2 linked regions of the Saccharomyces cerevisiae S288C genome follow. The gene in region 2 interacts genetically with the main gene of each other region. Each region holds a gene or a part of one and is shown on either strand. Other genes may lie near its edges.

The links.
Region 1: mutations in PPQ1 (region 2) and YNL035C together harm fitness more than expected from each alone (negative genetic interaction), as found in Saccharomyces cerevisiae (one large-scale study listed by BioGRID).

The regions. Positions count from the first base shown.
Region 1 is NC_001146.8:567,808-571,590, reverse strand, and holds YNL035C (uncharacterized protein), read left to right. Parts: upstream 1-1,899; coding exon 1,900-3,069; downstream 3,070-3,783. Other genes in the region: YNL034W (uncharacterized protein), read right to left, coding at 1-1,114.
Region 2 is NC_001148.4:206,192-210,435, forward strand, and holds PPQ1 (protein-serine/threonine phosphatase), read left to right. Parts: upstream 1-1,965; coding exon 1,966-3,615; downstream 3,616-4,244. Other genes in the region: TCO89 (Tco89p), read left to right, coding at 1-1,456. UniProt on the Saccharomyces cerevisiae protein: Phosphatase involved in the regulation of protein synthesis. Affects translational accuracy.

The sequences.
Region 1 (3,783 bases), on a different chromosome or scaffold from region 2:
CGTCTAAAAGCAGGTATTGAACAGCTATCATCTTGCGCTCAAATTTAAATTCGAGGGAATCGTAGTCAATGTTCTTTGTACTTCTCAGAAAGAGTGGACAGTATTTTCCCATTTTGCTTTCAAACCAGTTCTGTGGCCTGTCAAGGTACTGTTGCATGTATGAAGGAACTACAGTAGTCAACGTGTGGTTAGACTGGGAAAATTCCGCTGCGGACCCGACGCTGCAGCTTATATTTTGATTGCGGGGAGCAGGAGCGCAGGCATCTTGTTTAGATTTTTGGCTTGGATAATGTTTGTGGTGATCAGTGGAATTTATTGGGCAGTAAATTTCAGTTGGAATGATAGATTCATTCGTCTCTTTTGTTCTGGAGTCCTTGGTGCGGCGGAAATCAAAGCAAGTCACTTCTGCGTTAAGCGATGCGAAATTGCCGTCTGGAAATGACGATATGTGGGGAGAATGAGGAGGATTCCATGACGAATAAACTGATGAGGATGTGCTAACAGATGAGGTTAGTGAGGGTACCGATTCGTTGTTTTCTGACGCAGAGTCTGTTGTGGGAGATGTGGTAGCGTTATTTCTTTGCACAAGAGAAGGTGGGAGCATAGCACGGTTGTGGGAGGAGGAAGAAAGCATTACGTTGCAACTATCATTTACGGAGTGGGATAAGAGGTAGGAGGTTGTCATAGCGGTGCTTTCTTCCTGGTGCATGGCAGAAGACGTTGGCAGTAATTCGTTTATTATGGTGACATTGTCGTGATTAGAAAGGACTGTCTCTTTTACCATTGCCTCGGGTATGTTTTTTGACGCTTGCCCTGAACTTACTCCAGAGCAAGCCTCAGTAGAAGAATGACCGGAATGATTCCTCTTATACACGTTCCAGAGCGGAGCATTCTTGACATCATAAAAAAAGTTGCTGACAGGATCTTTGGACTGGTTGACGTTAAGTGGTTCCGTAGCTGGTCTGATGTTTTCTTGTACGGTATCACTGACGGCTGAGAAACCTTCAGAGGAACCGCTTTCGGGAACAGACTTGGAGGATTGCAAATTAAGCCATTGAAAGTCTAGCCCAACCTTGTTGCAAAAGGCCTTGAACTCCTGGAAAGATGTAGACATTATGTGGGCGAAAAACAAAATTAGACCAACGCTTTAGCAAATTTTTTCAACCTCAAATTGATATTTGAAGATTAGATCGGATGGTTTTTTTTCCTGTGGTGTAGGCCAAGCTTAAACAAGGTTTTAAGTGAAAGTGGAAATAATTGTGATAAACATGCGGAAAGAGTGCCAGCCTTAAATAATTCCGCATTGTTGCTATGTCGTTTTGTTTTTGTTTTTGTTTTCGTCTTATTGGTATTTGTTCATTTTACGACCACAAAGGATCCAGGGCTTCTACTTGCACAGGGAGGGTTGCTTGGTTAATACAATACAAACGTCAGAGATATTAAGATTTGTAAAGGGTGCATTCAATGAGTTTTTCCTCAATGTGCCCTAGAAAGGAAGTAGTACGAACATTTCTCAGTCGGAGTTTGCCGGAAATTCGAATGACAGTGTAAGTTGAGTTTTGTGGCACAGGGATAATGAGCGGTGGTGCTGGCACACAGTAGTGACGTTGGTTTGGTAGTGTGGAGGGACGGTGGAAAACAGATAACAGTGGTCTCTTGGCCCAGTTGGTTAAGGCACCGTGCTAATAACGCGGGGATCAGCGGTTCGATCCCGCTAGAGACCATTCTTTTTTTTTGCATTGGCAATGTGATTTATAAAAGTTTTCTTAGTCCAGATTGTAAAAATGTTAGATGGGACTACAGTGCACGTACGCAGTCATTAGGACATAGGCACTGGCTCGTCTTACTGTGTAAATAAAAACTACTTAAGTTCGAGAATCTCAAATTAACTTCTAGAGCATGGCTAGTTATTCTTTAGTTGAATCGAATTCTTTCGGGTCAGAAAATTGGTGTCTTAAGTTACAGCCTAGTTATAAACATGGTCTTTTAACTGGATTAAGTAATGGCGAAATACGTTTGCTAGACTGGAGTACTGGTAAATCAGTACAAAAGATTAAGGCGAGCGAAACTGCAATCAATGATATGAAGGTCATCGGTAGCGACTTCTCTGCTGGTCATCTAGTTAGTAGCGCCTCTATCGACGCGGTGAAAGTTTTCGATATAAGGACGAATGACCGCATTGCTCAAATTCAAAACGAGGCCAACTCCCCCTTTATTTCCTTAGATTCTCGTCATGGTCTATTGGCCTGTGGTACCGAATTGCAGGGAATTGACGCTGCTGTATACATATATGATATTCGCAAATGGGACACTCCATTGAGATCATTAATTGACTCTCACCATGATGACGTTACCTGTATTAAATTTCATCCTTCTGACGTCAATATTTTGCTCAGTGGTTCAACTGATGGTTACACGAACATTTATGACTTGAAACAAGATGAGGAGGAGGACGCTTTACACCAAGTTATTAATTATGCGTCAATACATTCCTGTGGATGGTTGTCCCCAAAGAGGATATTTACACTATCACATATGGAAACATTTGCAATTCACGAATTGAACGACAAATCTGACGAATTGAAAGAGCCACAACCCTTGGACTTTGGTGATGTAAGAGAAATATGGAACTGTGACTACGTGGTAGATATTTACCCTGGACTCATTGCAACCGGTAAAACCCAAGAAAATTGTGGAGAGTTGTGCCTCCTACCATTTAAAGATGAGAAGGTGGATACTGAAAACGGTATTGTTATCCCACACGCCCATGGAGACGAGGTCGTCAGAGATATTTTTATACCAGCACAACATAGCAACATGTTATACTCCTGTGGTGAAGATGGTTGCGTTAAAATTTGGGAAAACAAACAGGGGCCGTTAGATATTCCAGAAAATTTTTGGGATTACTCTAAAAAAATGAACGTCTTAGGAGATGACGACAGAGAAGGTTCCATTAATTTAGACGAACCTCTTATTATTCAAAAAGAATCGGTTTCCACGAGGCCAAGGAAGGAGAAACACAAGAAAGCCAAGAAACATTCCATGAAAAGTCGTTTCAAACCATACTAGTTTCATAAAGACAATACATCTAAAGAGATGCCTAACATCTGCAAGAGATTTCGGCAGAACTACTCTATAACTTAAAAAACGAAGCATACATTCCAAACAAGTTGATACTTCTAGATCATAGTTTATCTTCATAGGGCTTCTTTTGTTGGTACAATGTTATAACAACTATATTTCTGCTATATAGAGTATTAATGCATTTTTTTTTTTTATCTCCAGCATTAAACGTGCACGCTTCTATAAGGTGGAAAAAAAATACTAGAAAAGGAATAAGTGAAACACCACGTTGATGGTGAAAAAATATAAAGGGGCGAGCTGGGAATTGAACCCAGGGCCTCTCGCATGCTTTGTCTTCCTGTTTAGGCAGGAAGTCGCCCAAAGCGAGAATCATACCACTAGACCACACGCCCGATTATTTTATGGTGATTTCTGTCTCACAGGAAATTGTTATCAAAGGATAAATAGCATATTTGTCTTAAAGAAGGTTTTATAAATAGACATGCAGAATGTACTTATCAGTGGTATTGGAATGTGTTGGAATAAAAATCAACTATCATCTACTAACTAGTATTTACGTTACTAGTATATTATCATATACGGTGTTAGAAGATGACGCAAATGATGAGAAATAGTCATCTAAATTAGTGGAAGCTGAAACGCAAGGATTGATAATGTAATAGGATCAATGAATATTAACATATAAAATGATGATAATAA
Region 2 (4,244 bases):
TCTTGATGTTGGTAATACCTTAGCTGCACATAAAAGTAATCAAAAACCAAGTCATTCAGATGAACAGTTTGATCAGGAAGATCACATTGATGCCCCTAGGAGTAATTCATCAAGAAAAAGCGACTCGAGCTTTATGTCTCTTAGGAGACAAAGTTCTAAACAACACAAATTATTAAACGAAGAAGAAGATCTAATCAAGCCTGATGATATTTCTTCCGCTGGTACCAAGGATATTGAAGGGCATAGCTTACTGGAAAATTATGCGCCTAATATGATTCTCTCCCAGTCGACTGGAGTTGAACGTAGATTTGAAAATTCATCATCCATCCAAAATTCGCTTGGGAATGAAATTCATGACTCGGGTGAGCATATGGCTTCAGGTGATACTTTTAATGAACTGGATGATGGCAAATTGCGCAAGAGCAAGAAAAATGGTGGAAGATCTCAACTTGGCCAAAATATACCGAACTCTCAGTCTACTTTCCCCACCATTGCTAACATCGGTAGTAAAGATAATAATGTACCACAGCACAACTTTTCGACCTCCATATCGAGTTTAACCAATAATTTGAGGAGAGCTGCTCCTGAAAGCTTCCATGGTTCAAGAATGAATAATATTTTTCACAAGAAAGGTAATCAGAATCTACTTCTGAGATCCAACGATCTCAACAAAAATTCTGCAGCCCCGGCCTCTCCATTGTCCAACGAACATATTACATCTAGTACGAACTCCGGTAGCGATGCAAACAGACAATCCAACTCAGGTGCCAAATTTAATAGCTTCGCCCAGTTCCTTAAATCAGATGGGATTGATGCAGAATCAAGAACACAAAGAAAATTATGGTTGCAGAGGGAGAATTCTATTATGGACTTAAGTTCACAAAATGACGGTAGTGACTCTATCTTTATGGCAGGAAACATTGATGCGAAAAGGGAGTTTGAGAGAATATCCCATGAATACTCTAATGTAAAAAGATTTTACAACCCATTAGATGAAGCATTGTTGAGAGTACAACCTATAATAACGGGAAATGCAAATAATATCAGGAAAAAAAGCCATAACGATGCTCAGTCAATCGCACATTCTAGCAGTGATACAGATCATAAGGATGAGGACGATTTGCTCTTTACTAACTATGACAAAAAATTTGATGATCTTTATCCACATCTTGCAAGTGCAAAGATTCAGGCAGTGTTGTCCGGTATATGGAAAAGCGAAAGTTACTTATTTAACAAGGATGTTAATCCAATCAACAAGAATAGGACAACGAGTACAAACCACAGCGTTGGCCACACTGCTTCACAGAATGCACGTAACTTGCTGAGGGGCCCGATGGGTTCCAGCACGACTTTGCACCACCAACGCGTCATTAACTCTCTGCAGCCGACTACGAGGGCAGTGAATCGCAGGATGGAAAATGTGGGCTACATGCATACACAGCCACAACAAAGGTGAAAACAACCAACACGAAGCACACAGTTTAAAAGAGTAGCTAATGCTTTCGAGGTAAAACGCGAAGTTCGTAGAGAGCGAATATGTTTGGACACTTAAGGAACATACTATGTTTATGCACTATAAAAGGACATGTACTTCTATACGAGCTAACGAGGCGTATTTGTATAACCCGGTTAACGTAATAAATGATAAATTATCGAACAAAAAGAAAGAAAAACGTTGAATGCAACCACCGCAAATTTAGCGATTTCGCTGGATTCCGTATCTCTTAAAAAATGGCATTAGTAAATATACCTTAAACGTGTCTATTCTTTTAGCAATTTTTTGGTAAGTATTCCTCACGGACTATAAATACTATCGGTCAGAATCACTACATTCAAATTAATCTTGTTTTACCGAGTCTCTGACGTTTCATTTACAAGCTTGTCCTTACAAAAAACCTATTTTATTACTTTAGTCCATTTTCCTTTCAAGTTAGATATTGTTTTCCCTTCACTTATATTCTATTTATGAGAAGAAGCCCGTCCAGATCAAATAATAACTTTGCAGTACCGAATTGCTCAACTAATTCAAACTCTAGTCAGCAACAATTAACTACACCTTCAGATGATCTCAACAGTAACGAACCTAATGACCCAGATGATAGTAGGTCTCTACCTACTATCAAGAAATTCAATAATAAACATTCTATAAACAATTACAACACTTTAGCATCGGCCGGGAAAAACAACAACAATAAACGAGCTAGCAATGATAATTTGCTCATTCCTGGTGAGAATGCCCATAAACAGAAAATATACACTAAGGATGAAAACTTGAAGAGCTTGTACCTAGATATCGATGTTTCTGTCGCTAAAGCCCTATCCTCATCAGCAACTGCTCCGAAGCTGATCAATACCGCAAGAACTTCCTCTACTACCACTGCCACTACCTCAAATAATATCCTGACATCACCCTCTTATCGTGAATCAAATTATTCTTCTCCATCCTCATATTCTTTTTCCTCCTACTACTCATCCGCTACGTCTGCTTCCTCATCAACCTCATCATTTTTAAAATCTTCAGGGTTATCGTCCAGAGTTAAGTCTCCTTCATCTTCGGTTAAGGCAGGTTCTTTTGGTGCGCCTTCGTCCCCAACATCTGGGATACCTAATCCTAAAAGTAGCAAGAAGCCTATATTTTTGAGACGGTATTCTCATGATACCTCTTCAAATGAAGGTCTTGATATCGATGTTGCGATCGAAAAATTACTACAAGTGGGTGAGTCAAGAGAAATTACAAAAACGTCCAAAAAAAAGAACTTTCCATTCCATTCTTGGGAAATTCAACTCATTTGCTATCATGCAAGAGAAATTTTTTTGAATCAACCTACTCTTTTGAGATTACAAGCGCCTATCAAAGTTGTCGGTGATGTTCATGGACAATTTAATGATTTATTGAGAATTTTGAAGTTGTCTGGTGTGCCATCTGATACTAATTATCTGTTCTTGGGTGATTATGTGGACCGTGGTAAGAACTCATTGGAAACAATACTATTGTTATTATGTTACAAAATAAAGTACAAAGACAACTTTTTTATGTTAAGGGGTAATCACGAATCTGCTAATGTCACAAAGATGTACGGTTTCTATGATGAATGCAAAAGGCGATTGAGCTCGAAAGTATGGAAAATGTTCGTTGACGTATTTAATACTTTGCCATTAGCAGCAATTATTCAAGATAAGATCTTTTGCGTTCATGGAGGTATATCGCCCGATTTACATGACATGAAGCAAATCGAAAAAGTCGCAAGACCAACGGATATTCCTGAAAGCGGGCTGGTTACAGACTTACTGTGGAGTGACCCAGACCCTCAAGTAACTGATTGGTCAGAAAATGATCGTGGTGTTTCATACACATTTTCTAAGAGGAACGTTCTTGATTTTTGTGCTAAGTTTAAATTCGATTTAATACTTAGGGGACATATGGTCGTAGAAGATGGTTATGAATTCTTTGCCAGGAAAAAGTTTGTCACAATCTTTTCAGCACCAAATTATTGTGGAGAATTTCATAATTGGGGGGCAGTAATGAGCGTTACAACGGGTATGATGTGTAGCTTTGAACTGTTAAAGCCGCGTGCATTGAAAAATAAAAAGAAGTTATACAAAACCAAAGTGTAGCTGTTGCTAAGATTGGTTTTGCCTGGAAAGCACATTGGTTTTTAGGCCTCTTATCCTTCATTTGGAAACTTTTTGTCCTATGATTTGTTTTTTTCATTTTATTTTTCATTTTATTTTTCATTTTATTTTCATTTAGTTAACATTATTATGCAGTTATTTTTTTTTTTCCCACCTTCATGGCCTCGTTTATGTCTTTTATCAATATATTTTTTACGTTTATAAGTCATTTACTCGACTTTTTTTACCTTTGATATGCAATCATATTATTCTTCCCTCCATTATGGCTAAATAAATGATAATTATAATCTATAGTTTTCAAGCGTTCATATTTTGACAGATAAGATTATGCAACAACTTGGAAGGGCGGAAGGAAGCAAAAAGAAAACTCCGATACGGGGAGTCGAACCCCGGTCTCCACGGTGAAAGCGTGATGTGATAGCCGTTACACTATATCGGACAATAATTGGACAGAAAATTTTGTTAAAGTGTCAGCCTAATCGGCGTAATACGTATATATGTATATTATCTGCATATTATTACGATAATATACAACAAAACGGATTAAAACAATCGGTATATTTCAATTTGATATTTGGGATAAGGTAAAATAAAAACCGAAGATCAGTAAG